Alligator mississippiensis: one gene and its partner. The protein of the gene in region 2 interacts with the protein of the main gene of each other region in a biochemical or structural test. Links are inferred from orthologs where the notes say so. Each region holds a gene or a part of one and is shown on either strand. Other genes may lie near its edges.

Region 1 (15,953 bases), on a different chromosome or scaffold from region 2:
TGAGAAGTTTGATGTAAGCCCACACCGCAGAAAGTCTCCTGTTCTGGAGCAGGTGCTCCTGAAACAACTGCAGATCCACGCTAACAAGCGTGTCAACGGAGTGCAATGGAGAGGGGTTTCGGCCGGGACCGAGAAGGGTTTTGTGTCTGGTTCTGTCCCTGATTTTCCATGAAGCTGGTTAGTTGTGTGTCATACTCTCCTCCCCCTCTGCCAAGGCTGTAAACTGCTCAGGTTGGGATCGATAGTGTCCAAGTGGCGTTGTAGCCAGGATGCTCTAGGAAATACGTGCAAAGCAAGGACTTTCATAGAGGATACCTTTTATTGGACCAAGTGCAGGGCTGGGATAGACTCAGACAAGCGTTTGAGTACCGCAGCGCCCTTCCCTAGGTCTTGGGGCTGCTGTTTGCTTGTCCCCGAAAGAGGGGATTGGGAGATTGTCTCTCGCTGCATTTGTACAAGGAGCCTCTAAGCTCATACAAGCAACAGTATTTGGTTTAGACCTGATCCTGCAAGTTAGCTTCAGCTAATCTCTACAGCTGTTGGCCTATCACACAGAAATAGAGTTAAACCTTTCCAGGGACAGAGGAAGAGGTTTAACGTGGCTCTAAGCCTCCTGAGCACAAACATTTGCTAGCCCATTTTTCCCCATGCTGAAATAGTTTGGACAATGCTGAATGGCAGGAATGTCAGAAGAGACCGGACGTCTCTTCTGTAGAGTAATACGAGCACTGCCATGGCACAGGCATGCTGCCGCGATGTGTAAATTCCTATTTTCATGCAGTTATCAAGATACAAAGACCTGTATCAGTCTTGTTCTTCTCTTCTAATGAGACAGCTCAGGCACGTTGACGGCAGTAATCATCCATATCTTGAGAAGTCAGACCTGGGATGCTTATTCACCTCCAAAACCAATCTGCTCCAATGCTGGGCCCTTTTCCTCTTTGTGAGCCAGCTACTAGAGGGCAATATCATTAATATACAGCCTTACACAACTATGCAACATATACAGGATGTTGCACGGCTCCTTATCATAGCAAGGTATGTGAAGTCCGCAGTGTGGTCATTTAAACAGGCAGTTCCTTTCTGAAAAAAAGGATGCAGACTCATGGAGTTGAGGAAGCAAAAGTGTGGTCAAAGCCTTGCTGTAGTTCTCACTTTGGGACCTCCATACAAGCTGAAAGAGTTTGCTTCCTCTGGATGATTCACTTTCTCCAGTTTTAAGGGTTTTGTTTTGTAGCTATATTTTGTGTGTGTGTGTGGAAATGTTCAGTAAGGCCATATGTTTAAACTTTTTCTTTGGATGGTTTCCCACTGGCTCACTGACTGGCTCCTAATATAGACAAACGACTCTTTCTCTCTCTCAGTGGTTGTGCACGGGATAGAAATCTCCATGTCTGAAACCAGTTTGCATTCTTCAGGCTTTTACAGGGAGAAGAAAGGGTCAAAAACCCAGCTCATTACAGAGGGGGAAACTATCTTTCCACTATGAAAGTTAACAGAAAGGCAGTTTTCTTTTGCAGTCCATAGCAGCCAGTTCTCGCCCACTTTGATCATCATTTCTCTGAATGTTATCAGTTTGAATGTCCTGGATCACAGAGATACTGGGTGCCATCCAAGTGGGAAACCCTAAAGTTATTCTCCAGAATCAACAAGTGCAAGTAGACAGGCCCTAGCCCTTCTCCTACCCCCAGTAGTAAGCAGGGTAGATCTGCACCCTCTAGACTAACTACAATATGTATGTGTATGCGTGTGTGTGTTTATAGCACAAGCTTTCATGAGCTGAAGCTCACTTCAGATGCTGTGAAAGGACGTGCACACAAGTTGCATACCTAGGTAGGGAATGCCCGAGGAGTTTGCTGTTTGTCAGGCACTAGCGCATCTCCTGCCTCCCCTCGTGCAATATTCATACAACAGAGATGCTTGCCCTAAGAGCACAGTACCTTCACTACCCACACTTCCAACTTTGGAGAAAATAAAAGCTACCAGAACAGGAAAATGTTCTGATAAAACTCTGGACACGAGCACTTTGAAAATACATATGGGTGCACCTGAGCAAAACACTAACGTGCCCTAGGATTTTGTGTATCCATCAGTGCAGCCAGAAGGCACCGAGACACCAGCTCATTTGCTAGTATGTCTGTTAATTAATCTTCCTGAAATCCAGTCCCCCTACCACTTGCACAGGTACCATAATAAAAACAGCGTTCTGTCACCAGGACAAGTAGGGATGTCGTTCGGTACAACGGGTATAAAGTATCCCGGCACTTTCCAGCCAGAATTGTGCCTTTGTGTGTGTTCCTACAGCACGTAACAGGCTGGGCCCTGACTCCATCGTAGCTCCCTGATGCAAACGCAATACAAGAATGAATGAATGAATATGCTGGAGCAAGTACCTGCCGAACCGAGACTATTTGAGGGTACGCGATAGCACGGCGGCACGGTCACAGGAAGCAAAGTGATCTAGCAGCGTGCCAATACCTAAATAAAGGCCTGCTGAGCGTGCTTTGCCAGTCAGTGCTGCTGTCAGGCATCCAGATAGCATATGTGATGTAAATACTGTATGCCTGCCAGCATCCATGACCTTTCGGGAAGCAGAGATGAAGCAGGAGGATGCCCCGAGAAATCCAGCCCCTACTTGACATGGAGCCGGCTCAGAGGCTTGCTCATGGACTCGTTTTGCTTTTATTTCTTCTTTTCCTAAGAAAAATCCCTTTGCCCGTAGCCTTTGCAGAACTGCTGAGCTCAGCATTCAACCAAGCGGCCACCCTGTGTGGACGGCAGGGCGGGTGCAAGGGTAATACACTCCATTTTGTTTCTCCTCTTTTATCTCACTCTCCACATGTTCAGCCTTTGCTGTAATACGGGCAGTTTTCCGGCTAGAGGATTATTTTAGGCAGACAGGCACCTCTCGCTTGAACGAACCCCGCAGGCTGTGCAAAGCCTGCCACCCTGCTCCGTGTTTGGAGAAAGAGGGAGGGAAAGACATTAACCAGGCTCTTTTTTTATGGTGACAGCCCTCCACGTTGCAACAAGACACTGCCGGGAGACAAAGCCCTGAAGGAAGCAGAACGGGAGTCCGAAAACAGAGCGCTTGCTCGGGGCCTGCTGGTCAGGGGCGAGGGGGCGGGCAGGCTGCAGGCTGGTTTGAAATAGTAAGGCTGATCGGTTTATTGACGGGAATTCGGCTGCTGCACTTCCTCCAATCCCCGTAGCTTGTCCTGAGCACTGTATTTAAGGGCTATTATCTTCTTCAGGTTATTATTTGGTGGGGGCAGGGGAGAGCCTGCCCTTCCACAAGAAAAATGTTTCTAATGGAAATCCAAGACCTAGACAGCATCCCGGGGACTGTTTGCCAGGTCCTCCGTTTGACAAAGTTTCGGGTCCTCTGTTTGACAACTGCCACAGCAGATCAAGCATTTGTTTGCACTCAGGAGCCTCTGGATCTATATCCCCTTTATGGCAAGACTGATAACCATATGGAGCCTTTCTTCCCTACACTTTTTTCACTTCCCAAAAAAGCTTATTTTCATGGTTTTATCTGGACTATTAGTGGATCTACTTAATGAGCCACTAACAGAGAGACTGAGAAGACTGAGACACTACTGTTGAGAGGAAAAGAGTAAGGGAAGATATGAGAGAAGTAGACAAAATGATGACTATACCGAACAGGTTACGAGCGTGTCCCGTTCTCACTGAACAAGAGAAAGGGGACAGCCGCTTTACATTTAAAAGCGGCACATAAACAACGAGGGGATAATTTCTTGTATAAAATGGATTCAACCCGTCAAACTCGTTGCCACAAAGCATTTTTGAGTCATGAGTTTCAAGGGATCCCTAAAGGATTGGAAATGCATATTCTAATCCATTGTTTTGCGTTTTTGTTCAAATAATTAGGAAGGGGAGAAAAACCTCATGCTCCGGGGCATAAGCCAACATGTAAGTAATGGGGGTTGGCTGAATATAAAACTTCCCCTTTACACAAGTTATTGCAAAACTTTTTCAAAGCTTCTTGCCCCTTCCCTGAACATAACTGAATATTGGCCGCTATCTGAGACAGGTTACAAAACTAGATCATTTCCGAGGAGCTCCTAAATGCTGGAAGAAGAAGCATAAACCGAGAGAATCTCTCTGCGCTGTCCAGTAATTACACCAGCTCCTTTTAATTAACCAGAGCTGCAATTCCCTTCAGCATATAATTTAAAAATTTCAGTGGCTTAAATGTAACCAACTCACTCCTGCGCCATTTCAGAAACCTCATTTCTGCAGACAGAAGGGCTCCAAAATAAAACCAGGCCTACGCTGGTGAGTTTGCCTGCCCAGCTCTTCCAGATGACAGCTATTGATTAGCAGCACTCATGTTGCAGGTTGGAAGATAAATTGGAAAGATCACACTTGGAAAATGAGCTAAAAAAGCCTACTGTAAACAGCGAGTACGCTGACAGCTATTTTAAGGAATAGCTTCCTTCCCACCACAACTCCACAGATCAGATCACATCCTGCACTGCGCGTGCACGCACACTCACAAACGCACACACACGCAATCATCATCCTACGTCAACGCACAAAGCGATGCTTGCTTGAGGCGGGTCTTTCAAATATTAAATATTAATTGCTGCCTTCTGTACGGCGTAAAGTTTTACGGTTTTGTTAGCTTTTCTCCTTTTATAGCAGCAAGGCTGAACTCGCTCACACTGGCAGACGCAGTGACAGCTTGCGAGCTGCCAATATTGACTTATAAACGTACAGAACATCTCTAGGAAAACAGGGCTTTGTATTCAAAGGTGTTAGACAACCTGCTTTTCAGACAGAGGTAGCAGCGCCGGCTCTAGTTAACGTGGTAAGGACCATGGAGCGAGCTTGTGACACACCTAGTGCATCTCCCTGCTAGTAGCTAGTACGATACGCACAGCTCTGGGAGTGGGAGTAACACACCTATTCCTCTAGCTCAGCGGGCACAGCTCTGTGCTTTGGTGATGCCAGGACTAGGTTCAAATGCTGCTTGTGCTACCGGATTGCAATCGGTACGGTAAGATAATGGTGAAATAAACCCAAGTCTTCTTGCCTTGCCACTTAGATAGTGTCAAGGCGGGATCGCTGGCTCCATTATATTCTTAGTAAGTTGATCACCAACCAGCTGCAGAAGATTTCGGGCTTCATGGTGATACGTGCATTTTACAAGTCAGCTTTATGGGGAAGCTTTGCAAAGAGGTGGATACCAACCTAATTCCCACTAAAACTGCCTGGGAGCTGGGCACCTAACAGCCAGCTGTGTATGGCAATATCTTCTGCTATCGCTTTCACGAACTTATTGACATTTCACTTTCAAACTAGCGGATGAAGCAGCGTGACTGAGGAGGCAGGACTACACTCCACGCCCATCTGGGCCTACCGAAGTTTCCAGTTATGACACCTTATCTTCATACTGAGTTCCAGCGAGCCCTGTGGCACGATTCCCACTGACTCAGAGAGAGCAGGATCCGATCCGGCTGATAAAGATTAACTCTTGAAACCAAGCTTTGCTCAGTTTTGAGTGCCAAGGACTCAACGGGCTGCATTCTTACCACGAGGCGTGGAGACCATAGGGTGGAGTCCGGGCTAGACCTTGAGATTTATACTCAGTGCATACTCTGCCAGGCTGCACAAGTGCAGCTGAAATGCTAGACGCCGTCGGGCGGAGATGTTAAACTGGGATCCCTTCTGCTTCCCTCCGACAGCTGCGCAGGGAAAAGTTAGACAATCGCATGGTACTTTATAGAAGGGACCAAGGAATACATTTTCTCCAGGATAATATTAAGGAAACTGGTTGTGATATCTGAGGTTGTGAGGACTATTCCAGGGCTGCTTCGTTGGCCTAGACAGTCATTGCAGAAAGAGTATTTAACTTGTTATTTTGTTAAGATAGTTTGGGAAACCTGGAGGATGAGAGATGCTAGAAGAGCCCCCCGTTCTAGTCCAGGGTAGGAGCACCCTGCGCCGAGCCATGCCATCTGTCCACAAAGGGACATTTATTGCCAATAAACTTGCATCATGCATAAAGCTGGCCAGGGAAGACCCCAAGAACGGCCGTTGTCAGTCAGAGGACTAGCAGATTTGGGAAGAAGGATACCAGGATCCTTGTTAGCAAAGTTGGATTTTTACATCCAAAAGCAAGTTAACATTCAAAGCAGTTTATTCAAAGAGGATCTACTTACTAATGAGGCCTCCTTGAAACAAGTCATCCCCATAATTTTTTTAACACTCTTCCTAGGAAACATTTTAAATAGGTTTAAGTGTCTGCAATTTTTGAATTTCTGTTCAAATAGTGCTTTCAAAATATATTCATCCAGGCAAAAAGATAAACAAACAAAGCCCCCCTATTCCCAGCAGTAATGTGAAAAGACTTGTGCTATTTTTACCAGTCTGGCACATGTCCTAAATCAGAGGACAAGCCTCTGCCAGCTGCACAGCACTGCCCAACCACCCATACAATCTGCACAGGCTTCTTATTGATCGGGTTTCCAAGAAGAGCAACGGGATGTTACGGAGCAGAAGCTCCTTCAGGACTTCTCTGTCTGCTCACATCGGGGTGCTTTTGGCTTCGTGCAATCAAACCCCCTCTCTGCAGGGCAGCGAAACACTGTCAGTGATTTAAAACGACAGCTTCAAAAAAATAAATAAAATCGCACTCCCTGAAATACAGAAGCTAGCATGCACAGACATCACAAAATACGTGGCAGTGCGCTGCTGCACGCCACGCTGCCAAATCGGAGAGCAGAATGCCGCATGGAGCCTCAACACACAGTTCGTGTTCACAAGGAGATATTTGACTTACCCAAACTTTTTTTTTTCCCCCCTCTCTCTCTCTTTCTTCCCTGCTGAATTATAACACGACAAGAGACACGGAGCTTGGACAGGACCAGGCTGTCTAGGCTGCCAGCTTGCAACGACACATCCTATATCGCCCCACGTCACTTCTCCTCCTTCCCACAAGTTAATCAGTGCTTCCTCCCATCCCTGTGAATCGCTCCGTCTCACTTCCTTATGCCACGACAGGCACCGCTGGAGGGATGGGAATCGCCTAGTGGCACCTCCAAGTCAATCCTGGGATGCCAGGTCATCTCGAGGATGCATTATCCTGCATGGGCAGGCACACCTGGAGGTCTGGGCTCCACCCTGCCTTGCACACATGGGCATGGGGCTCCTGCTCCTGGCATGCACACAAGCCGGAGGTGCCCGGGGGCAGTGCTAACCACCCCCCCCCACTATCACCTGCTGGGACCTGCTTTCCAGCCCCCTCCCCGGGCATCTGCGAGCCCCTGCAAGCTGCTGCTGCCCCCGGGGAAGGAGGCTGGGGCAGCCCGGAGCCCGCACCTACCTGCGCGGCTGCGGAGAGGCAGGAGGCGGCGGCGGCTGCGGAGAGGCAGCGCTGGGGCGGGCCCGGAGCCGAGCTGGAGGGAGGGATGGAGGCAGGGCGGCCGCGCCGGCACCTCCCCGCTCCGGGGTGGGCAATGCTCGGCTCGGGGACTCACCCAGCACCGGAGCCGGGCACAGCCCAGGGGCAGGGGCATGCACTGGAGCCGGGCACAGCCCAGGGGCAGGGGCATGCACTGGAGCCGGGCACAGCCCAGGGGCAGGGGCACGCACCAGAGCCGGGCACAGCCCAGGGGCAGGGGCACGCACTGGAGCCGGGCACAGCCCAGGGGCAGGGGCATGTACAGGAGCCGGGCACAGCCCAGGGGCAGGGGCATGCACGGGAGCCGGGCACAGCCCAGGGGCAGGGGCACGCACCAGAGCCGGGCACAGCCCAGGGGCAGGGGCACGCACTGGAGCCGGGCACAGCCCAGGGGCAGGGGCATGTACAGGAGCCGGGCACAGCCCAGGGGCAGGGGCATGCACGGGAGCCGGGCACAGCCCAGGGGCAGGGGCACGCACCAGAGCCGGGCACAGCCCAGGGGCAGGGGCACGCACTGGAGCCGGGCACAGCCCAGGGGCAGGGGCATGTACAGGAGCCGGGCACAGCCCAGGGGCAGGGGCATGTACAGGAGCCGGGCACAGCCCAGGGGCAGGGGCATGCACCGGAGCCGGGCACAGCCCAGGGGCAGGGGCATGCACCGGAGCCGGGCACAGCCCAGGGGCAGGGGCATGCACGGGAGCCGGGCACAGCCCAGGGGCAGGGGCATGCACCGGAGCCGGGCACAGCCCAGGGGCAGGGGCACGCACCAGAGCCGGGCACAGCCCAGGGGCAGGGGCATGCACCGGAGCCGGGCACAGCCCAGGGGCAGGGGCACGCACCAGAGCCGGGCACAGCCCAGGGGCAGGGGCACGCACGGGAGCCGGGCACAGCCCAGGGGCAGGGGCATGTACAGGAGCCGGGCACAGCCCAGGGGCAGGGGCATGCACCGGAGCCGGGCACAGCCCAGGGGCAGGGGCATGCACCGGAGCCGGGCACAGCCCAGGGGCAGGGGCATGCACGGGAGCCGGGCACAGCCCAGGGGCAGGGGCATGCACCGGAGCCGGGCACAGCCCAGGGGCAGGGGCACGCACCAGAGCCGGGCACAGCCCAGGGGCAGGGGCACGCACGGGAGCCGGGCACAGCCCAGGGGCAGGGGCATGCACCAGAGCCGGGCACAGCCCAGGGGCAGGGGCACACATCGGAGCCGGGCACAGCCCAGGGGCAGGGGCATGCACGGGAGCCGGGCACAGCCCAGGGGCAGGGGCATGCACCGGAGCCGGGCACAGCTCAGGGGCAGGGGCATGCACGGGAGCCGGGCACAGCCCAGGGGCAGGGGCATGCACGGGAGCCGGGCACAGCCCAGGGGCAGGGGCACGCACCAGAGCCGGGCACAGCCCAGGGGCAGGGGCATGCACTGGAGCCGGGCACAGCCCAGGGGCAGGGGCATGCACGGGAGCCGGGCACAGCCCAGGGGCAGGGGCATGCACTGGAGCCGGGTAGAGCTCAGGGGCAGGGGCATGCGCCGGAGCCGGGCACAGCCCAGGGGCAGGGGCATGCACCGGAGCCGGGCACAGCCCAGGGGCAGGGGCATGCACCGGAGCCGGGCACAGCCCAGGGGCAGGGGCACGCACGGGAGCCGGGCACAGCCCAGGGGCAGGGGCATGTACAGGAGCCGGGCACAGCCCAGGGGCAGGGGCATGCACCGGAGCCGGGCACAGCCCAGGGGCAGGGGCATGCACCGGAGCCGGGCACAGCCCAGGGGCAGGGGCATGCACGGGAGCCGGGCACAGCCCAGGGGCAGGGGCATGCACCGGAGCCGGGCACAGCCCAGGGGCAGGGGCACGCACCAGAGCCGGGCACAGCCCAGGGGCAGGGGCACGCACGGGAGCCGGGCACAGCCCAGGGGCAGGGGCATGCACCAGAGCCGGGCACAGCCCAGGGGCAGGGGCACACATCGGAGCCGGGCACAGCCCAGGGGCAGGGGCATGCACGGGAGCCGGGCACAGCCCAGGGGCAGGGGCATGCACCGGAGCCGGGCACAGCTCAGGGGCAGGGGCATGCACGGGAGCCGGGCACAGCCCAGGGGCAGGGGCATGCACGGGAGCCGGGCACAGCCCAGGGGCAGGGGCACGCACCAGAGCCGGGCACAGCCCAGGGGCAGGGGCATGCACTGGAGCCGGGCACAGCCCAGGGGCAGGGGCATGCACGGGAGCCGGGCACAGCCCAGGGGCAGGGGCATGCACTGGAGCCGGGTAGAGCTCAGGGGCAGGGGCATGCGCCGGAGCCGGGCACAGCCCAGGGGCAGGGGCATGCACCGGAGCCGGGCACAGCCCAGGGGCAGGGGCATGCACCGGAGCCGGGCACAGCCCAGGGGCAGGGGCATGCACGGGAGCCGGGCACAGCCCAGGGGCAGGGGCATGCACCGGAGCCGGGCACAGCCCAGGGGCAGGGGCATGCACGGGAGCCGGGCACAGCCCAGGGGCAGGGGCATGCACCGGAGCCGGGCACAGCCCAGGGGCAGGGGCATGCACCGGAGCCGGGCACAGCCCAGGGGCAGGGGCATGCACCGGAGCCGGGCACAGCCCAGGGGCAGGGGCACGCACCGGAGCCGGGCACAGCCCAGGGGCAGGGGCATGCACTGGAGCCGGGCACAGCCCAGGGGCAGGGGCATGTACAGGAGCCGGGCACAGCCCAGGGGCAGGGGCACGCACGGGAGCCGGGCACAGCCCAGGGGCAGGGGCATGCACTGGAGCCGGGCACAGCCCAGGGGCAGGGGCATGCACAGGAGCCGGGCACAGCCCAGGGGCAGGGGCATGCACTGGAGCCGGGCACAGCTCAGGGGCAGGGGCATGCACGGGAGCCGGGCACAGCCCAGGGGCAGGGGCATGCACGGGAGCCGGGCACAGCCCAGGGGCAGGGGCATGCACGGGAGCCGGGCACAGCCCAGGGGCAGGGGCATGCACGGGAGCCGGGCACAGCCCAGGGGCAGGGGCATGCACGGGAGCCGGGCACAGCCCAGGGGCAGGGGCACGCACCAGAGCCGGGCACAGCCCAGGGGCAGGGGCATGCACTGGAGCCGGGCACAGCCCAGGGGCAGGGGCATGCACGGGAGCCGGGCACAGCCCAGGGGCAGGGGCATGCACTGGAGCCGGGTAGAGCTCAGGGGCAGGGGCATGCACCGGAGCCGGGCACAGCCCAGGGGCAGGGGCATGCACCGGAGCCGGGCACAGCCCAGGGGCAGGGGCATGCACGGGAGCCGGGCACAGCCCAGGGGCAGGGGCATGCACCGGAGCCGGGCACAGCCCAGGGGCAGGGGCATGCACGGGAGCCGGGCACAGCCCAGGGGCAGGGGCATGCACCGGAGCCGGGCACAGCCCAGGGGCAGGGGCATGCACCGGAGCCGGGCACAGCCCAGGGGCAGGGGCATGCACCGGAGCCGGGCACAGCCCAGGGGCAGGGGCACGCACCGGAGCCGGGCACAGCCCAGGGGCAGGGGCATGCACTGGAGCCGGGCACAGCCCAGGGGCAGGGGCATGTACAGGAGCCGGGCACAGCCCAGGGGCAGGGGCACGCACGGGAGCCGGGCACAGCCCAGGGGCAGGGGCATGCACTGGAGCCGGGCACAGCCCAGGGGCAGGGGCATGCACGGGAGCCGGGCACAGCCCAGGGGCAGGGGCATGCACTGGAGCCGGGCACAGCTCAGGGGCAGGGGCATGCACGGGAGCCGGGCACAGCCCAGGGGCAGGGGCATGCACGGGAGCCGGGCACAGCCCAGGGGCAGGGGCATGCACGGGAGCCGGGCACAGCCCAGGGGCAGGGGCACGCACCGGAGCCGGGCACAGCCCAGGGGCAGGGGCATGCACTGGAGCCGGGCACAGCCCAGGGGCAGGGGCATGCACGGGAGCCGGGCACAGCCCAGGGGCAGGGGCATGCACGGGAGCCGGGCACAGCCCAGGGGCAGGGGCATGCACGGGAGCCGGGCACAGCCCAGGGGCAGGGGCATGCACTGGAGCCGGGTAGAGCTCAGGGGCAGGGGCATGCACCGGAGCCGGGCACAGCCCAGGGGCAGGGGCATGTACAGGAGCCGGGCACAGCCCAGGGGCAGGGGCACGCACGGGAGCCGGGCACAGCCCAGGGGCAGGGGCACGCACGGGAGCCGGGCACAGCCCAGGGGCAGGGGCATGCACTGGAGCCGGGCACAGCCCAGGGGCAGGGGCATGCACGGGAGCCGGGCACAGCCCAGGGGCAGGGGCATGCACTGGAGCCGGGCACAGCTCAGGGGCAGGGGCATGCACGGGAGCCGGGCACAGCCCAGGGGCAGGGGCATGCACGGGAGCCGGGCACAGCCCAGGGGCAGGGGCATGCACGGGAGCCGGGCACAGCCCAGGGGCAGGGGCATGCACCGGAGCTGGGCACAGCCCAGGGGCAGGGGCATGCACCAGAGCCGGGCACAGCCCAGGGGCAGGGGCACGCACGGGAGCCGGGCACAGCCCAGGGGCAGGGGCAGGGGCATGCACCGGAGCCGGGCACAGCCCAGGGGCAGGGGCATGCACGGGAGCCGGGCACAGCCCAGGGGCAGGGGCATGCACCGGAGCTGGGCACAGCCCAGGGGCAGGGGCATGCACCAGAGCCGGGCACAGCCCAGGGGCAGGGGCACGCACGGGAGCCGGGCACAGCCCAGGGGCAGGGGCACGCACCAGAGCCGGGCACAGCCCAGGGGCAGGGGCACGCACCGGAGCCGGGCACAGCCCAGGGGCAGGGGCATGCACGGGAGCCGGGCACAGCCCAGGGGCAGGGGCATGCACGGGAGCCGGGTAGAGCTCAGGGGCAGGGGCATGCACGGGAGCCGGGCACAGCCCAGGGGCAGGGGCATGCACCGGAGCCGGGTAGAGCTCAGGGGCAGGGGCATGCACCGGAGCCGGGCACAGCCCAGGGGCAGGGGCACGCACCGGAGCCGGGCACAGCCCAGGGGCAGGGGCATGCACCGGAGCCGGGCACAGCCCAGGGGCAGGGGCATGCACGGGAGCCGGGCACAGCCCAGGGGCAGGGGCATGCACCGGAGCCAGGCACAGCCCAGGGGCAGGGGCAGGCACCGGAGCCGGGCACAGCCCAGGGGCAGGGGCACGCACCGGAGCCGGGCACAGCCCAGGGGCAGGGGCACGCACCGGAGCCGGGCACAGCCCAGGGGCAGGGGCACGCACGGGAGCCGGGCACAGCCCAGGGGCAGGGGCACGCACGGGAGCCGGGCACAGCCCAGGGGCAGGGGCATGCACGGGAGCCGGGCACAGCCCAGGGGCAGGGGCATGCACGGGAGCCGGGCACAGCCCAGGGGCAGGGGCACGCACGGGAGCCGGGCACAGCCCAGGGGCAGGGGCACGCACCGGAGCCGGGCACAGCCCAGGGGCAGGGGCACGCACCGGAGCCGGGCACAGCCCAGTGGCAGGGGCACGCACCGGAGCCGGGCACAGCCCAGGGGCAGGGGCACGCACGGGAGCCGGGCACAGCCCAGGGGCAGGGGCATGCACGGGAGCCGGGCACAGCCCAGGGGCAGGGGCATGCACGGGAGCCGGGCACAGCCCAGGGGCAGGGGCATGCACGGGAGCCGGGCACAGCCCAGGGGCAGGGGCATGCACGGGAGCCGGGCACAGCCCAGGGGCAGGGGCACGCACCGGAGCCGGGCACAGCCCAGGGGCAGGGGCACGCACCGGAGCTGGGCACAGCCCAGGGGCAGGGGCATGCACGGGAGCCGGGCACAGCCCAGGGGCAGGGGCATGCACGGGAGCCGGGCACAGCCCAGGGGCAGGGGCATGCACCGGAGCCGGGCACAGCCCAGGGGCAGGGGCATGAACCGGAGCCGGGCACAGCCCAGGGGCAGGGGCATGCACCGGAGCCGGGTAGAGCCCAGGGGCAGGGGCATGCACCGGAGCCGGGTAGAGCCCAGGGGCAGGGGCATGCACCAGAGCCGGGCACAGCCCAGGGGCAGGGGCATGCACCAGAGCCGGGCAGGGGGCATGCACAGCTCTCAGCACTGCAGCGCCTCTGATGCCCCCATGGACGCCCCAGGGCTTGGTGAAGCTGCCTGAACTCTCAGCTTCTCCCAGCAACCCCGCCCACCTTGAATGCCATGCTAGACTTTGCCCAACGATTGGAGTTGGTTTAATACAAGAGATCAGACAGACCCTAAAATCCTTGTCTGCCTTGCACAACTTTGAAACCGAACGGGTGCTTAATGCGCCCCTTGTTACTGGGATGCATTTGGGAGCCCTGTTGGTCTGAGACAGAAAGAAAGGCAAACATCTAGAAGTGTTGGGTTGGCACATTAGACTCCCTGAAAAACTGCCAAAAAAAAAAGACATTTCTGCAAGCTTTATATCATTTTTGTTGTTGCAGTTTCTCAGTGGGTCTAATGAAAGTTATCCCCTGAACCAAGAGTTCTTGATTTTTGCATTACCTTTGTTAGGGCGCATTTAGTTCAGTACAGGCAGTCCTCAGACTTACGACACAACTGGTTGCTGAAAACCATGTCTTAAGTTGAAACGTAACTCGGAACCGATTTTCCCATAAGAAACCAAGTTATGCATGGGGGATTGGTTCCTGAACCGATACCCTATTTTCACCAAAAATAACCTAGAATTTTGTACTCGATCAATTATAGATGAGTAATATAGCTACATTAATGTATTTATATTGTAAATAGCAATCATATTGATTTGGAAAGACTTCTTTGCTGGACTTTTTGGAGGGCTCTCGGCTGGAGTCTTCCAGCAGTCTTGGCTGCAGGTTTTTGTGGAGTCTTGTCTTTCTTCAAAGCAGTGCCCAAGGAAGTTTGGACAGATGTTCTCCAGGGAGATGGGTGACACAGCTAACTTGTTCGCTGGCGTGGCGTCACGTTGTAAAGTCAAACATGACATCAGAAAGTTGAAACAGGATGTCAATTTATAAACGTTGCAAGTGCAAAATGTAAGTCGAGGACTGCCTGTACTTCCTTAGTGAAGTAGGAAATGAAGGCACAGAAACTAGAGTTACTGCACATGCACGATTATTTTGTGATGCTGCGGCGCATGAGCCTAACGACACTGCGCAGTAGGCTTTTAGCGCAGGCTTTAACCGCCATGCTACTGCGCAGTGTTATTAGACTAATGCTCATCAAGCATCTTGTGTAGACTTGCCCACTGCAAACTCCTTTCATGTTGTGACCCCTTGTTCTTGTCTTGTGCGAGAGTCGGTCGTCCATCCCTACTGACGTCCTCATCACCATTTAGTATTTTGGAAGCCCATATCCGGTCTCCCCCCAAGAGACTCTTTTCTAAACTGGTTAGGCCTGGCCTCTTCAGTCTCTCTCTGGCCAGTTCAGTACAGGAGAGAGACAGGCGGTGACCTGCTGAAAAGGGATCCTAGAGTTGTTTCTGGAGCAGAGGAAGACCCTGCCTGGTGCACTTCTGGCTGAGAGCAGCTGTGCACCCATTGCAACAGATCAGGGGTGGGCAAACTGTGGCCTGGAGGCCAGATGTGGCCCACCAGGTCATTCTAACCATCCCGCAGGGCCCCTAAAAACTTTAGAAAATTCATATTTATCTGCCCCTGGCTGCCTGTCATGCGGCCCTCAATGGCTTGCCAAAACTCAGTAAGTGGCCCTCCACCCGAAATAATTGCCCGCTCCTGGATTATATGCTACTGAAGTACTTTTTGTCCAGGAGCCAGCTGCCTGTAATGCCGTCACCACACTTGGCTACCTGAAAGAAAGCAACTGTAGCAGCAGACAAGGACCAAATGGTCCAAGGGAGAACTGACAGTCCCTTCTGGTCAGATGAAGCTCGTTTGCAGCAGAGGTGTGGGACAAAGATGCCTTGCAGCTATTCGTGCTGCACCTGTTCTGTGGATTGAGTCAGGAATTCCCTCCTCGGGGTTGTTTCTAGCTCCAAATATTTCACACATACTAACTATCGTAGGGGAAAAAATCCTGTGAATAGATTCAGTTCTGCAACTTCACTTATGTCGTGATGACCTTGACACTTTACCTGCAAGTGTTAGGATAATGTCAACAGTAAGTCTGTCTGGCCACATTTGAGGAAGTGTTGAAAATAAATATAAATGTGAACACTAATCTATTAGGAGTTGGGGGTGGGAAGGTCTGAACCTGCTCCCAAGGACATGGCTGACAGACAGTAACTCTCTTCAATCCAACTGACTGCAACGAGCTCTCAATCATTTTCAGAGGTCATCTCTAGCTGCTCGGCGCCAGTTAAGCTGTTCTTCGAGAACCAAAATCATTCAACCTGAGTTTTGCAAAAGAAGCAGAGAGCATGGGGACCAGCTGTGATGTGTCAGTGGCTGTTTTGTAACAGCCCAGGGTTTTCTTGATAGAAGGCACTGAAGACGCAAAAACCCCCGAGCTCTCAACCGCGGTCTCCGCCTTCCACCCTTCTTTCATGCGTATCGCCTGGTGTCGAGAATAGTCTCCAAGTTGCAGTTTGCCCATTCCCTTCCTCTTTTCTGATTCTTTCCTCCAACCTCCCTGTGC
Region 2 (16,265 bases):
GAAATGAGAGGGGGCCTGATAAAGCAAATGGTATCTAACGCCTAGCGTAGAACTTGACCTTGACTGGGGACAGTGGTTGCTACTGTAACCAAAATGATAAATAGTAAAGATTGGTGCAAACAGGAAAAAAAGATGGGGCTTTCAGCCTACAGCTGACCTTACATTAATTCCCACCCTCTCTAGTTTTATTCTTCTAGTGGCACAGGGACACAGAGACACAATCATTAAGGGCTTGTCTACACAAGGAAGTTAGTGCACAGTAAGATAAGGTGCGATTTTACAGCACCTATGGGAAATCAGGGCAGAGTAGCTAATCCACTGTTAATTTATATCTTAGCTTGCAGCATATTAACTGCCCAGTATAGAAAAGATGTTAATGTCATGTATACCCCTGAAACACTACTGGATTGTAAACTCCACGTTTAGCACCAATAAGTAGTAAGTCTATCTTTGAATTATCATGAACTGCAGTTATTTAAAAAACCCCAAACATTTTACACAAAAAGTGTGGTAAATTCCTATTATAAAATACAAAAAAAGGCTTTTACTATATACATTTTTGGCTAGTTACGTAGGCCAGAGAGGTTACAGTAACAGCTGCTATATCACTCTAATGTATTCTATGGTCTTTTACATGGAGGTAGCCTTTGTGACCATGAGAACTGAAGTGACAGATTGAGGTCACTTATGTGCTGAATGCTCTACTTCCCCTTGATGTGGGCATTAAAACACTAATACATCCACCTGGTTTTCAGTGCCATACCTGCAATTCACCTTTAACATCCTAGGAATTTTTGAGCATCTTAATAAAACAACTCAGCTGCACTTGTCTGAAGAACAAAAGACAGACCTAGGAGCAGTCATCTTTTTGTTGCTGGGCTGTGTCAGAAACATTTTTTTCTGTTTCAGAATGCTGATACCAACACAAGGCAGCAGCAATGCTCTTGGGAGAAGGCTGGTTCTAGCTAATTTATAGCAGTATAGCTAAGAATTACCTCATCTTACTTAGCTAATGCGATGATGTCATACTCTGTCAAACAGAGGATACATCTCTCCAGGGAGGGTGATCTCATACTATGAAGGATGAAAAAAGTACTTTGGGAAAACATGTTCAGAATTAATTTAAATTACTGTTTTTCTTCTATAGATTTTTATTCTTTGTTTTGCTTCTATAGATTTGTATCCCTAATGCTTAAAGTATCAGCTTAGGTAAGAGAAGCTTTTAACAGTGATAGAATTTAAAATAAAATAAAAAGCCCCCAAAGAAATAGCTGAAGTCACCACTGGCATAACATGCATCTTTTTTTCCGTAGCTAGTAGAATATTTACTTTACATTACAGGGTAGCTTCTACTCAATTCTTATATTTAATAATAATAAAAAAGATCACAGACATAAGAGACAGATGCTGCAAAAGGGGTAAGTGTGTTCTGTAAACTAATGTATAGGGGTGTGTGCCAAAGAAGGAATCTTTGAAGCAGGTCCAAAAATTAGAACTGCTGGCAGGTTACAAAACAAAATTATTTTCATAACCTACATGCATAGTACATTATGAATATAATTTTTTTTAATTAGCATAGCTCTTCCAGGTTATTCCTTTTGTTGTAACAATGATCGGTTACTATGCTTCTTTACAAAAGTCAAATGAGTGAGCCATTACAAATCCAATCTCTAACTCCAGTTTAACAATGCTTCATTTCAGGACACAAGTATATATCTGAATTATGAAATATATACAATATGACAAATTGCTATAAATTGAAATAATATTCAATTTCTATGATAAAAAGAGTAAATAACTGAATGGTATCCAATTACTCTACACACCCTAAAACATTCAAACACCCTGAAACATTCAAATGGCTATGGACAAGACAACACGTGTTTAATATATGCCAACTGTTGTGAAGTAGTGATCATCACAGCGATACTAAAATAAGCATCCCAAAACAGAAGCTATGAGTTAAGAATTTTACAAGATCATCTGTGATTTATTTTCTCTCTGCAGTTTTTCACCTTATACAATTACACTGGAAAACTGCAAATATTCTTCTAAGGCAAGACTGTCAGACACATGGCCCAAGGGCAGAATCTGGCCTGCAGAGGCACTCATTCCAGGCTGCTGGGCTAGGGGAGGACCAGAGATTTTGGAGGCATGATCATGAGGAGCCCTGCTGTGTGGATTTAATAGGGGGGAGGTGAGTTTGACACCCCTGAACTAAGAGAACAAGCAGAACATGTGCATGCATGGAATACTGGAATGACCAGTACTGCTGTTTAAAATGACCAGCCTAGAGGGAACAAAGAAACAACAGACTTGAATAATAAACATTTAAACGACATTTCTCTACAGAATTTTGCTAATATTAAATACTGCACACTTTCTTACTCATGCTACTGAAAACTGGATCTGTGGAGTTACTGTCTACATAACCATAGTACACAAAACACTAAACACATATGGAACATATTTTATGCTGTGCTATGAAACAAAGACAACAGTAGTTATTGCAATGAACTCTCTGTATACGGAGCATAAAACTATTTAAAAAAAAGAGAGAGACAAAAAAAGTATGTTTCTTTAACACTTAAGGAAAGAATCCTGGCCCAAATGGGTGGGCAAGAGATGAATGGTAAGTGCTTTCTAACAGCCACATCCAGAAAATTATGGAGTGTTGTGAAAAGCATTAGTGGAACTATCATCCTTCCACTGACAAAGGCTTCATGGGAATCATATCAGCAGTCCTCAAGTGTCAATAGGGAAAATGAGTTCCTCGCATCTTTTGGAGAGAATTGTGGTTTCTAGTCTCTTAACCCTCTAAAGCATGGGTTAGTAACCTATGGGCCATGGAATCTGATTAGCAGAGCTGGGGCTTTGGTGGGAGGAGGTGGGGGGGGCAGGGCTGCATCAGCTGGAAAGCTCAGTAGTGGGGAGTTTTCTTGTGCTGTGTTGCAGCCAGGCAGGAGAGAGAAGTGCCAGCAGGAGCAAGCAGCAGTGACAGACAAGTCCTAGTGCCAGCCTGCCTTGGACACAAGCTGGGCCATTCCATTCCACTGCTGGAAAACACCGTCAACCACTGCTCTAAACAGTATTTCTTAAAGCATCTCTTTTTATTAACCCCAGGGATGGCTTCATGGTTTGTTTGCATCCATAGATCGCAGATGGCAAATGCTTAAGTTAGGCTCTGTCAAGTAAACTGATGCAACATGGGGGAAAAAAAACAAACAATACATACTGCATGACACAGTAGCTGAAGTGTGGAGGTACTACACTGTAATTTGGTTTCCTAATTATGCCTGTGGCCACTAAGGAAATTTATTTCAGTAAGGCTAATACTTGATGATTTATTCTGAATAGAAAATATGCTAACACAAAACAAAACAAAAAATGTAAATCCATAAATCTACTATCAATATAAGCCATATTGGAAAGGAGGATTGTATCCTGGAAAGCAATGACTTAGAAAAGGATTATGCGGTTATTCTAGATACCTAATGAATATATTTGTCCAGTGAAATGTTTTGGCTGAAAAGATTAATTGGTAAGGCAGAAGGCAGGGTAGATTTGCTCCTTGCACACCAACTAAATCAGAGATGCATAGTATAAGCTTTTGCAAAGCTTTCATAAAGCTTATGCCAGGGGTTCTCAATTCCTGGGCTGTGGCCCCATGGTGGGCCGCGAAGGGTTATCTGCTGGTCTGCAGGACTGGAAGTGGCCATGGAATGGAAGTGGCCAGCATACTGCGGAGCAGCAGTCAACCCTTTTTTATTCTGAATATAGAAAAAGGGTTGGCTACCTGCCCACAGTATGCTGGCCACTGCTGGTCTGCAGTTTGCCGGTCCACAGTCACTTCCAGTCCACGGCTTGCCAGTCCGCGGTCACTTCCTGCTGGTCCTCAGCATAAAAAGATTGGGAACCCCTGGCTTATGTTATGCACTTCTGATTTAGTTAGCATATACAGTGCAGGTCTACCCTGCCTTCTGATTTAAGACTCCACTGTTGATATTACATCCAAACTTTTAAAAGGGATGTTGAAAGATTGTAAGGACTTCAGAGAAAGTATAAGAAAGATCTGAGAACTAGAAAATATACTTTACAATGAGAGATTTACACAGCTCAAACTATTTGCTTAAAAACTGAGAAATAAGAAGTGACCTGGCCATGTAAATGGGGAAAAAAATCCTACACTTCAAAGGGCTCTTTAACCTAGCAGACAGCTGCATGACAATACTTAGTAGCTGGAAGCTAAAATGAGAAACATTCAAACTGAAATGAGGTGTAGCTATTATGTAGGAGGATAATTAACCACTGTAACCTAGGGATATGGTAGATTCACCATCATTTGAAATCTTTCAGTGAAGACTGGATAGCTTTCTAAAAGCTTTACAACTCAAAGCATAAATTTGGGAGTAAATTAAATGGCTTAGGTTATTCAAGAAGTTAAACCACATAACAGTAACGGTGGCTTTGGGCCATAACATCTATGAATTAACAATAAGCAGAGACTGCACTGTGGCTGTAAACTCTCTAAAAGGCTTTTCTTTGCTCACCAGCCTAACTTCTTGTATTATGCAGGTCCAATTTCAATTAGTCATTCTTCATTTATTACCTCAGCAGTCCCCAGCCTTCAGTGGTAACAATACTGAAGAAATAATTTTCTGTGGTAAACATCACACTTTGTTCTCCCTGTTAACCTAAAGGAAGATGTATCTGGGGAAAGCAAGATTTCCTGTTGCAGGAGCTATGCTGGAGTATCCTTTGGGAAACATATTGCCTGCAAGCAAAGGGTTGGAAACCAATGCAGTAGCCCATCTGATTCAAGTCCTTAGCTCTCTAAATAAAAACAATATAATCATGCATAATGAAGGATATTAAAAAAAGCACATCATGAATGTGAAACTGTGTGTCTATATAAACAGGTTCAGAGAAGCCAATGGACCATAAGTCCGCTTACTGAAAGCAACTGTTACTGAAATACTATAAACTTCACCAGTTGTCCATAACTTACTGTAATATAGACTTTACCATTTGTGCTCAATTTCCCAGATGCTATTCAGAACACTTAGACCAATGTAGAAACAAAGGGAAGTTAGTTTCTTAAATCATTTTTTTAATTCTCTTCTTGAACATTATTTAACATCTTCAGAAGTATTTTAATGAAGGTAAAATTTGGAAATTAAACAGTATTTTGAACAGGAAAGTCAAAACAACAGGTGTCAACCATTTTAGAATTTATTTTTGATTTGCTGCAATCTGCATAACTTTGCAAAATATTTCAGTCAATCTCAAACTACATTTTTCAGCAACAACTTCAGCCAAATATGTCAGCTAACTATTCAGGATTATTAGGCTGTAGCAAAACTGTCAAGAACTGCACTGATTTCATAGTGACACCTGAAAAATTCTGGAAACAACAGGAATATCAGGCCTTGAATTTGCTCCTGGAGGAGATGACCCAGAAATGTTGGCTGGATAAAACAGCACAGACCCATTATATACAGCTCTTATACTGCTTTCATCATTGTAGCAACTAAGCACTTTAGTTCAGATGGCTTTTCGAGTAAGAAACAGAATTTCAAGTGTATCTAATACCCAATGGGAGACAGATATGCAACAAAGAAACCACAAGGCATAGGTCAAGGGTTGCAACCTGACATAAATGCCAGCACACTCCTCTTTCCTAACAGGTTCAGGTTGACAATACCTTGGACAGGGACCTTGATGGAAACCATGGGGGCTGCAGAAACTTACTATTTCCATGTCAGAGTCAAGGATGTATGTGGGTGGTATCTTTTATTGGACCAATTGCTTGGTTGTCATCTTCCTCTCATGTCTCTACACCACCTTTGACCATTTTGTTACACATGCTCATGCTCATTTATTGTACTTTATGAGGTCTTTCATTGTACACGTGCCTGCAAACAGCAGACATTACAGCAGGAGTTGCATAATCTGAAGCTCTCTGTCGCAGTCAGAGATGGTTGAACCGATGGTATAGCCCCTTCTTCATTAGTATCTTGCAGCACCTAACTCTGGTACGTAGGCGGTTGAGACTCTGCCACCTTTGCCATGTTTCATCAGCCCCTGGTGATAAGGACTCGGCTGCTGGAATGCCCTTATTCCGCTGTCAGGTACTTTCTTCAGCCTTTCGTTCCACATGTGTAGTAGTCTTGTCTCCTTGAGCGTGGCATTGAGAGGATGGGTGCTGGTGAGGAAGCTCCTGCGTGATTTCAGATGTTTGGGTATTGCGGGATGGTCATACAGTGGGCATCTCACATCTTCAGTTTGTCTCGATGATTCTATCCTGCAGGCCACTATTCTTCTGATGTCAGGCAGAGCATTGCCAGCTAGCCCTGTTTATCCTGGTAGGCTTCAGACATCCTGTGATAGCAGCTATCGTTCAGAATAGGGTCAAGGTGCTTAGTACAGGGCATGCATACTCAGCAGAGAAGCTGGAAGCCAGAGCAGTGCTTCCAGTGGTTGAGGGGCTCACTCCCCATTTCAAGCTGGTGAAGTTATGCAGAATGTTATTCTGAGTACTCACCTTTGCTTTCATCTTCATGTATGAGAGGGTTTGATCGAGGGTGACTCCAAGGTAAACTGGATTTGGACAGTGGGATAGTGGGGTCCCGGACATCCAATGCTGAGCCGGTCGGTGGTTGGCCTCACTGTTTTTCAGACAGAAGGCACATACATGGTTGTGTTTTTGTTGGGTTGATATATAACTGGTTTTCAGTGTAGTATGAAGTTAGGCCAACTAGTGCTTCCGTAAGGGATTTTTCAACATTGTCAAAGTTAGTGTTTGGGCTTGTTATGGGCAGGTTGTCTGAACAGATGAAACCTTGTTTCCAAATTGATTGGCTGGTCAAGTTCCACAACAGTGGTGCAAGTATGCTTCTTTTGGGGGAGGCCATTAATGTCACTTCCATCTACTTCACTTCCCATCCAGTTTGGCAAAAAAGTGTTTTTGAGCTGGGTTCACATCAGTTCTGTAAGGCACAGATCTTTTGTCATTTCCGGGGTCTTGTGGAGGAACTGGTGGTTAACTATATCGTAGATGGCTGTTAGGTTGATAAACACAGCTCTGGTGATTTGGCCTCTTTCAAAACCATCCTCAGTATCTTGAGTCAGAATAAGCAGCTGGCTTGGTGTTGATTTTCCAGGGCGAAGGCTGCCCTGTTTGGGGATCAGGCATTTATTTACGTATGGGACAAGCCAGTTCAGCATCAGCTAGCCGTATAATCTGTATGTGTGGTATAGCAGAGAGACAAGTTTGAAGCTCTTTGGGACAGCTGGGTCCTTCCCTGGCTTGAAAAGTGCTGCTGCCTGAGCATGTCACCAAATCTTTGGCATTTTTTGGCTGGCTGCACGAGCCGCATGAGCAGAAGAGCTGTTCTGGAACCTGGTGTCCAGACTCCTGCTAGTGCCCCAACCACGATGTAACCGCTCAGTCGGGACAGACCTAGTTGAGCTGCTGAATACAGTGGCCACCAGGGGAAGAGGGGACATGTGGAAGTGAAAGGGCACAGGACTAGTCAAAGCAGCAGTTGCAGGGAGCCGGGCAGGGACACTTCAACAGCAACACCCAGCTCCAACTGCGTTCAAAAGCTTGTTTAAGTCTCTCCCAACCAAATCGGGGTCCAGTACAAGACTCCACCCACATAAATCCTTGCCTCTTGCCTAGTTCCTGCACCAGTGAGGGGTACAACCTCACTCAAACGGTGTTTCTACAGCGGCACTTCAGGAGGCGGGGGAGGAACGGGCACCACTCCCTACTGCCAAGTGCCCGGGCCAGCGGGGACCGCCGCGCTGGGTAGCCGGGTCTCGACCACGCGGAGTAGCGGGGGGCGGAGGACGAGGCTGAGCACTAAAGCCGGGGCTGGGGCGGCGCCGCCAAGTCCGCGCAGGCTCCGCCGCCTGGTGCCCCGCCTCGGGCGCAGGCTTTGTCCGGCGGGGCCGCGCCGCCACCTCCCTCCCCCCGCGGCGATAGGACGGGTCCTCGCACGGGACGCAAGAGCAGCACCACGGGGTGAAATCCCCCCTCCCTTTCCCCGCCCCTCCCGGCGCCGCGCTGTGGTACTGACCTGCCGCCCTGCTGGTCCCGCTGCGATTGCCGCCTGCAGAGAGAAGCCGAAGCCCCGCCCCGCCCCGCCCCGCGCGGCGGGTTCGAAGCGCGAGGGGGGGGCTCCCAGCAGCCTTTGCGGCGGCTCCCCACCCATACAGCGCGGGGAGTGGGGCTGAGGGGGTGCCGCTGTGGGAGGGCCGCGGTGTCCCGCAACCCGTCACCGGGCCGGGGTCGTGCCTGGGGCACCTATTGCAGGGCTGGCACTGCACGTGGCCTCCCTCTGCCCCACGCGGCAGGGAGCAGCAAGCGGAGCGGCAGACAGGGCGGGAGCAGGGGATCAGTCAGGGCGCGGCCTGTGACTCGCCTGCCAAAAAGGTGCCCCCCCCCACCGTGCATTGGGTGCAGGGGAAGCCAGGGGGTGCATGCCCTGGTGTCTCCTGTAGGTTGTTGTGTCCTCCCCAGACATGGGGGCATCATTGGAGCATGGGTCCTTAGGGAGGGGGTAGGAGTTGGGCAGCAGCAGGAGGAGCACCAATGGTTTCCGTGACCTGAGGAAGTCTGGAAAGTACTGACAGGTGGCTGCGTGCTCGCCAGCCTCAGTTTGCATGCCTGGGAGACTTTGCTGGTGGAAATGGGCACTTGTAGCATTTCTAGGGCGTTAAGGTGTCTGTAATATTAGACGGGCCCTTCTGAGGATGTTGTTCTGGACATGAGTGAGGGCATAAAGGGGAGGGTTAAATACTGACATTCTCCTTGTGGACCTGGCCTGTAATTGTCCAGAGGGCAGGGTGTGGAGTTAGTTCAGGGGTGGGCAATTATTTTGGGTGGAGGGACACTTACTGAGTTTTGGCAAGCCATGGAGGGCCGCATGACAGGCAGCCCGGGGCAGATAAATACTAATTTTCTAAATTTTTTAGGGTCACCACAGGCCGGATAGAATGGCCTGGCAGGCCATATTTTGCCCACCCCTGAGTTAGTTTCGCTCTGTTGATGTCCCGGCTGAGTAATCTCGGTGGGATACTGAGTCGGGGAGAGAGAATCCGAAGTGGAAGAGGAGGGGTGTGAAGAAGCAGGGGAAAGAAAGCAATGATGCAAAACAAAAGATGTACGAGGGGAAAGGGGAACAAATCAATTAATGGTAGCAGGAACAGGTCTTGTGTGTCTGTGATAAAACTCCTGTAGAAACTGCCATGCGCGCTTTAAAGAGTTTTGAGAGAGAGGGCATTTTGCTGGGTGAAAATGACAAAAGTCAGGCTGGTTTATAATGATGCTGGTGTTTGTTTTTCAGTGTTCCTGCTTCAGGTTTGCTTTACAGGATTAGAAGCTCAAAGATTGAGTGATAGTGAGCTCAGGTGTGCCAATGCCTCTTCTGAGCCCAGGTAGGTCTGCTGTTTCAAAAGTGTAACAACATTTCCAGTAAATGTGTATACAAGTGAATAAATCAGTGAAATCTTGAGGTTACAAAACAAACAATATGACCAACTATCAAGGTGAGGCTGAAGTACAAAGTTCAGATTTAGTTGTTTTTGCTTTTCTGAGGTACAAGAGTCTAACAGATTTAGGGCTGGGAACTAAGGACTCTGAAATCTAATCCTGACTCAAGGACTGACTGGCTGTATGGCCTAGACCAGGGGTGTCAAACATGTAGCCTGTGGACTAGATCCATCCTGTGGAGCTGGGTCATTCTGCCTGCAGATTTTGCCCCAACTCTGGTTGCAATAGGGGATCTTCTTGCAGTGGCAGCCAAGCGCCTGGGCAAGAGTCACAGTGCAGCAGCTGCAGCATTGTGGGAAGAAGCCTGATACTGTGGCTTGTTCTGGCAACAGGTGCCAAGTAGCCAGCTCTTGCCTGTGTGCTTGGCTGCAGCTGCAGGAAGAAACCATAGTGCTGCTGGGGCTCCAGCACCACACACGCTTCTTGCTTGCTTGGCTGCCAAGCACCCAGGTGAGAGCAGCAGTGCAAGAGCCCTAGTATCACCCTGGGAAGAAGCCTTATGCCACAGTTTGTTTTCAGAGTGACAGCCAAATGCCAGGGTGGTGGGCCTCTTCCTGCTGGGTCCAAGATGGGTGCCACAGGTGCTAGATCTAACGTGGGGTGGTGGATCCTGATCTGGTCTATGGACTAGACCCATACCGGGCATCTTTCAAATGAGTTTGACATCCCTGGCCTAGACTAATCATTTTACACTTTTCATTTCACTTGTGAAACATGACATTTATATACTTTCTGGTATTGGTGAGAGAATGCCTAATTATAATTTGGCTCATTGTTTTTGTAGGTAAGTTATTAGTGTTCTGTAAGCAAAATGTTACAGAATGATCTGAAGCTTTCCTTTAGACTAAGCCCTTTCTGGTGCGCTGACAGTGGAACAAGCCTAACAGTTCCACAACTTGATTCTTCATGCAGTTGATATGAAAACAAGTTCTCTTACTGATCTGGGAATGTATGGGGATTGTAACGTTAAAAGGAATTTTATGGCAAAGCTGTGCGTTGATCTTGAATATTGCTACCGTTATTCATTAAGTGGAGTATATGCTCTATATGCAACAGTTCAACCTTAGAAATGTGGACTTGTTTATTAAAAATGAAAGCCCAAACCGAAAACATTTTTATATTTACATATTAAATATAGAGCTACAGGTTAGTTTCTCACTGCCTGAGGACAGATGAAGAGAAAATGGGAAGAAAAACTGAAGAAGATTGAAGAACTAGAATCTCAATATAAAAGAAACCCACTTTGCTCAGCTTATAGGCCAAAGCTGTCCAAACCATGGCAACCATCCTCTGTTTGGAAAATATTTCCCCGACAAGCTCAAGCTTTTGACTATGTAAAAACCTGCAAAGAGGTGAGGCATCAGATTGTTACAAGAATTACTTTACTATTGAGATACTTTGAAGGTTTGAATTGGCTTTTAAAGTTGTGGTAGTCTACAAAGTAAATTTCAGGTTACAGGATTCTTGTGTTGTGCAATCCTGGTACATCATGTTATTTGAATCCTCAAAGGACAGCATGGGACATCCAGGGATCATAACTGTAATAAGCATGATGTCTAACATTAGACTTTAGATCAGGGGCAGGAAATTATTTCGGGCAGAGGGCTGCTTAGAGGGCCCCATGGGTTGCCCCACCCCCTGGTAGGTGCCCCACCATCTTGGGACTGGAAGTCCCACTCCGTAACCCCTTACCTTTGCCACAAAGGTCCCTCCACTTGCCCCCAGAAATACTCCTTTCAGCAAGGGGTTTTGCCATTTCAGAACCAGAAAAATACCCAATTATATTTTAAAAATCAAACGTCTACAACATTCATTAATTTGATTAAAAAAAATATTTTTGTCCTGATTTACATGTGTTTGTGTAGTGTACATAGAGGTGATTATACAGTAGCTTAAAATGAGCCCCCCGGCTCCTGTGGTTTGGGGATTCAGCCCAGGGCCACGTGGTGCTGGAGCAGGCACAGGGGGAAGCAGTGAAAGCCAGCGCAAGTAGAGACTTCTGGTTTGGTGGGGAAGAGGCTGGGGGGGGTGGGGCTGGGCCAGCCTTGCTCCTGACTTCTGCCGGCTTCCCCTAGGTCCTACTGCCCCTGTCTCCTGTCGTCTTTGACAGGCAGCCAGGAGCAGATAAATATTAATTTTCTAAACTTTTTAGGTGCCCCATGAGCTGGGTTGAATGGCCTGGTGGACCAGATGTGGCCTGCAGGCCGTATTTTGCCCGCTCCTGCGTTAGGTGTGCCATTTAACTTTTGATAGTGGAGGAGCTTGTTAGTGAGAAGACAGGACTGGCAAATGATGTTGATGAAGGAAAAAGCAAGTGATAACAGGAAAAAGGTCAAGAAAGACAAATAATATAGAAGAAGAAAAGTCAGAAAACAAAAGACACAGAGACCAAAACATTCCACAGAGGAGGGCACCTCTTTATTGACACACCAGAGACAGTACCTCTGGAAAAACAAGGTGGGACACAAGTTGAAATAAGAGCCAAATCACCTGAAATAAACCTCTTTCAAAGTTTTTAACTCCATTTATTTATAACAGTTTGTGTTTCAGATTCTGTGACATAATTGTCTTTTTTTTAAAACCAAATGTGCATGAAAACAAAGTCAACCAAAAAGTTAAAACAAAAAACAAACAGCATGGGGAAGTTCCTCATAAATTTCAGTGGACACTTCCATTTGATGATTTAAAATGACTTCCACCAAAAAATATTGTAGGCCTCTGCTAGATGTAAAGGAAACCCAGAATAATTGAAACCAAATGACTCCCTTGATGTCTCCTAGTATAACAAGGACAGGATGAAGGAAAATAAACTGTAGGCTGTTGTTCATTCTGTGGTTAGTTGCTTGTTTTGGTTGTCTTTCCCCTAGCCTCTCCCCTTCAGGTTTCATATATTGTTGCAATGAAAATTATTCGCTAGTCTTGAGTGCAGTGTTCCATTGTAATCCTTCTAAACGCGGGGTTGCTAAAACATATTCTTCTGCCCTATAAAATATGCCATAAAGTTGTCCATCGGAGTTAGTGACTTAAATTGTTTCCCAAATGCGTCCTAAATATACTCATTTAATCATTCAGTTTTCCAGTGTTGAAGCAAATTACCATACCTATGCATTTATGCTAATATAAACTTTAAAGTTGAATCAGTAAAGTTATCAAACACAGTCATTGGAGGAATAGCAACAATTATACATTTGCTTAATTGAAAAAGCTAGGAGTAGTTTAACATATATCATAACACACTCAGTTCATCTTGTTTGTATTAGAACTGTATTTTGATAAATCTCACAGAATAACGGAAAAAATCACTATACTAAAGAACCCATCCTGCAATTGCCTCCATCTTATAGAGTCGATATGCCTCCTCTTGAGCTTTTGCACAGGGTAGGGAGGTCTGCCCTTGCAGGATCAGAGCCTAAATAACCACGCAGGGGAAACAGTGCAAATGGTAATATGCAAAGTGAGCTACTGTATTTACTTACCAACCACATGGCTCCTTTTCCCCCTCCAAAATGGGCGTGTGTCTTAAACAAGGAAGCTAATTTTAATTTGTTAGAAGCAGGGTGGAATAGAGCAAGCAGACACTATGCCTACTGTCAACCCAAGAGGGTTGTTACTTCTTGCACCTGCAAACAGCAGGGTTAGGATCCAGTGTTAACCCTCTCAAAGCTGTTGGTGAGGCAGTAGCTTTTGGCTAAAGAGCTTTTGAGCTGGCTGGCAGTGGGTGAGCTGCTGCATGCAGTCTGTAGTATCTTGAGGCTTATGCAGAAGTAGTACTTATTATTTACAGGAACTTATATAAAGAACTAGTTATAGTAAAAAAGTAACAGTCTTGCTGCTGCCCTTGCAAGAGTCTAGGGCCCAGCCTTGTTGCTGTCCTGGCACGTTAGGAAGTCCCTGTTGCCTTACCCTGACTCTTCCCTGGGATGCTGCACTTACTGGGCTCTCTGTTACTGTGTCACAGTTGGGCATGACTCTGGAAAAATCTTTTCTTTTACATTGTGCCTTCCAAAAACAAAGTGTATATTGTATTTGAGGCTATGTAGCAAATGAGAAAATACAGTATTTGAACCAGAAGTGATGGTAACCAACACTTAAGTCATAGGTCTCACCAAAGAAGTCAACTATCAAGTTAAAAGAAATTGAAACTTGGGATACTTGGGTTCAGTTCCCTGTTTTAGCACAAGACTCCTAGCATGACTTTTGCATGAGGTCACGTGGGCCTAAGTTCCTTTGTGACTCTTAGTCGTCTTTATGCTTCAGTTTTCTGTAAAATAAAGAAACTGCGCTTCCAACCTTAGGATTATTGTGATGGTAAATGCAGTAAAAGGTAGTAAAGCGGTTGGATACCTTGGTATTGGGTTCTTATAAATACCTCATCCAAAATTATGGTTGTGACAAAGCACTTGACCTAATCACTGCCAGTATGTTAGCATTTCTCTCTCTTCAGGTTACCTGTAGTTTTATACATAATATATAATAAAAAGATGACTGGTACATTATTATACTTGACTGAGAGCTATATACTTCCATCTCTTAATGTAGAGTGCTGTTTTCTATAGGTGATTGCCCTTGAACTGGTGGTATTTGCTATAGATCAAAATTACTAAAGAAATACAATACCACTTCAGCCTCATTTTTGATATGTTATCAAAGACTTGCACTGATGTTAACTTTACTGATGAGTGGGCTTCTCCAGACTTATACTGCTACAACTGAAGTCAAAACGCAGTTCTTGCATAGCAGCAAGTTTTACTGTTTTAATTTAAAACAGTCATTTGGTAGGCTTTTAATAAATAGAAACTTAGTGTCTCAGGTGAAGGGTTTCAAATAATGTCAAAGAGACCATTTTGACAACAAAGTATTTTGAAACAAAAGGACAGTTTACTTTTTTCCTTTTTTTAATCTTGAAAAGGAAGTGCATGTATTTGCATTGGAAAAGAACACTGAAGACGGACAAAGGTTTTACCTTGTGACAACATATATTGAGCTTTGGTTCTATTATAAGTAAGTATTTGATAAGCAGCTCTCAGCTGCTCTGTGCTTTGCTGGGGCTGGGGTAAATGCAGTCTGGCCTTTAGAAACATGATTTTGTCACTGGGAGACCGTATCAGGTAGCCTTGTGTGCCAAGCAGAACTTGACTACAAAAGAGAATCTGTTTTTGTAGAGGGGGTAAAAAAACATCATTTTAGAGTGTCAAGAGATGACATAACTTATGCCTTCTTAAATAAATAACTTAAATAGCACTTTGCATAGAAATGTATCACACAATTTGTGGTTTTGTCTTTTGCTATATAAATCTCAAAGGGGATTCAACTTAATTACATGTGGTAAATACAATCTGGTAAATATTAGCAGTAATATCTGATTACTGAGAGAATTTTCAAAGTCCAATATTCCTTTTATTTAAGCTATTATCATCATTGTGTGTGTGTGGGGGGGGGGGGAGGGGTGTCCCCTCAGTTCAGACATCAACATTTAATTGCATCTACTTTTCTTATGTGTGAAAGTCATTTATTTTGCTTTCAGGTTCTCAGTGCTTTCTATTTGCATTGTAAATTATCTCAGGGGTATTTCTGTGTTTCTAAAATTAGCTTTCATAAATCTTTTAATTCATTAACACATTTATGTTGTCAGTACTATAGATTTTGTGTTTGTAACTTATAGGATGCTGCCAACAACAGGAAACAGGGTGAGATCACTAAAGATGAATATACCTCTTCTGCTCGTGCTTGTAGGGAGGCAGTTAGGCGGGCCAAAGCTACCATGGAGCTGAGGATGGCAACCCAAGTAAAAGACAACAAGAAATTGTTTTTTAGATATATAGGGAGTAAAAGGAAGGCCCAGGGAGGAATAGGACCACTGCTAAATGGGCAGAAACAATTGGTGACAGACAGGGGGGACAAGGCTGAACTCCTCAACGAGTTCTTTGCCTCTGTTCCTAGGTGAGGGGCACGACAAGTCTCTCACTGGGGTTGTAGAGAGGCAGCAGCAAGGCGCCAGACTTCCATACGTAGATCCTGAGGTGGTGCAGAGTCATTTGGAAGAACTGGATGCCTCTAAATCGGCAGGCCCGGATGGGCTCCATCCGAGGGTGCTGAAGGCACTGGCCGACATCATTGCAGAGCCACTGGCAGGAATATTCGAACGCTCGTGGCGCACAGGCCAAGTCCCAGAGGACTGGAAAAGGGCTAACGTGGTCCCCATTTTCAAAAAGGGGAGGAAGGAGGACCCGGGCAACTATAGGCCAGTCAGTCTCACCTCCATCCTTGGTAAAGTCTTTGAAAAAATTATCAAGGCTCACATTTGTGAGAGCCCAGCAGGGCAAATTATGCTGAGGGGAAACCAGCATGGGTTTGTGGCGGGCAGATCGTGCCTGACCAATCTAGTCTCTTTCTATGACCAGGTTACGAAACGCCTGGACACAGGAGGAGGGGTGGATGTCATATACTTAGACTTCAGGAAGGCCTTCGATACGGTATCCCACCCCATACTGGTGAACAAGCTAAGAGGCTGTGATGTGGATGACTGCACAGTCTGGTGGGTGGTGAATTGGCTAGAGGGTCGCACCCAAAGAGTCGTGGTGGATGGGTCGGTCTTGACCTGGAAGGGTGTGGGCAGTGGGGTCCCGCAGGGCTCGGTCCTTGGACTGATACTCTTTAATGTCTTCATCAGTGACTTGGATGAGGGAGTCAAATGTACTCTGTCCAA

What was found.
Region 1: of the proteins of CASP3 (region 2) and GSN, one has a biochemical effect on the other in vitro, tested with the Homo sapiens proteins (2 studies listed by BioGRID). The link is inferred for Alligator mississippiensis from reciprocal best matches to the Homo sapiens genes CASP3 and GSN.

Annotation. Positions count from the first base shown.
Region 1 is NC_081835.1:64,351,837-64,367,789, reverse strand, and holds the start of GSN (gelsolin), read right to left. Parts: upstream 7,462-15,953; 5' UTR 7,355-7,461; intron 7,069-7,354; exon of another isoform or gene 6,812-7,068; intron 6,244-6,811; 5' UTR 6,225-6,243; coding exon 6,192-6,224; intron 1-6,191. UniProt on the Homo sapiens protein: Calcium-regulated, actin-modulating protein that binds to the plus (or barbed) ends of actin monomers or filaments, preventing monomer exchange (end-blocking or capping).
Region 2 is NC_081825.1:71,025,176-71,041,440, reverse strand, and holds the start of CASP3 (caspase-3), read right to left. Parts: upstream 8,435-16,265; 5' UTR 8,085-8,434; intron 8,030-8,084; exon of another isoform or gene 7,924-8,029; intron 7,722-7,923; exon of another isoform or gene 6,545-7,721; intron 1-6,544. Other genes in the region: PRIMPOL (DNA-directed primase/polymerase protein), read left to right, coding at 10,732-10,911, 14,469-14,560. UniProt on the Homo sapiens protein: Thiol protease that acts as a major effector caspase involved in the execution phase of apoptosis. Following cleavage and activation by initiator caspases (CASP8, CASP9 and/or CASP10), mediates execution of apoptosis by catalyzing cleavage of many proteins.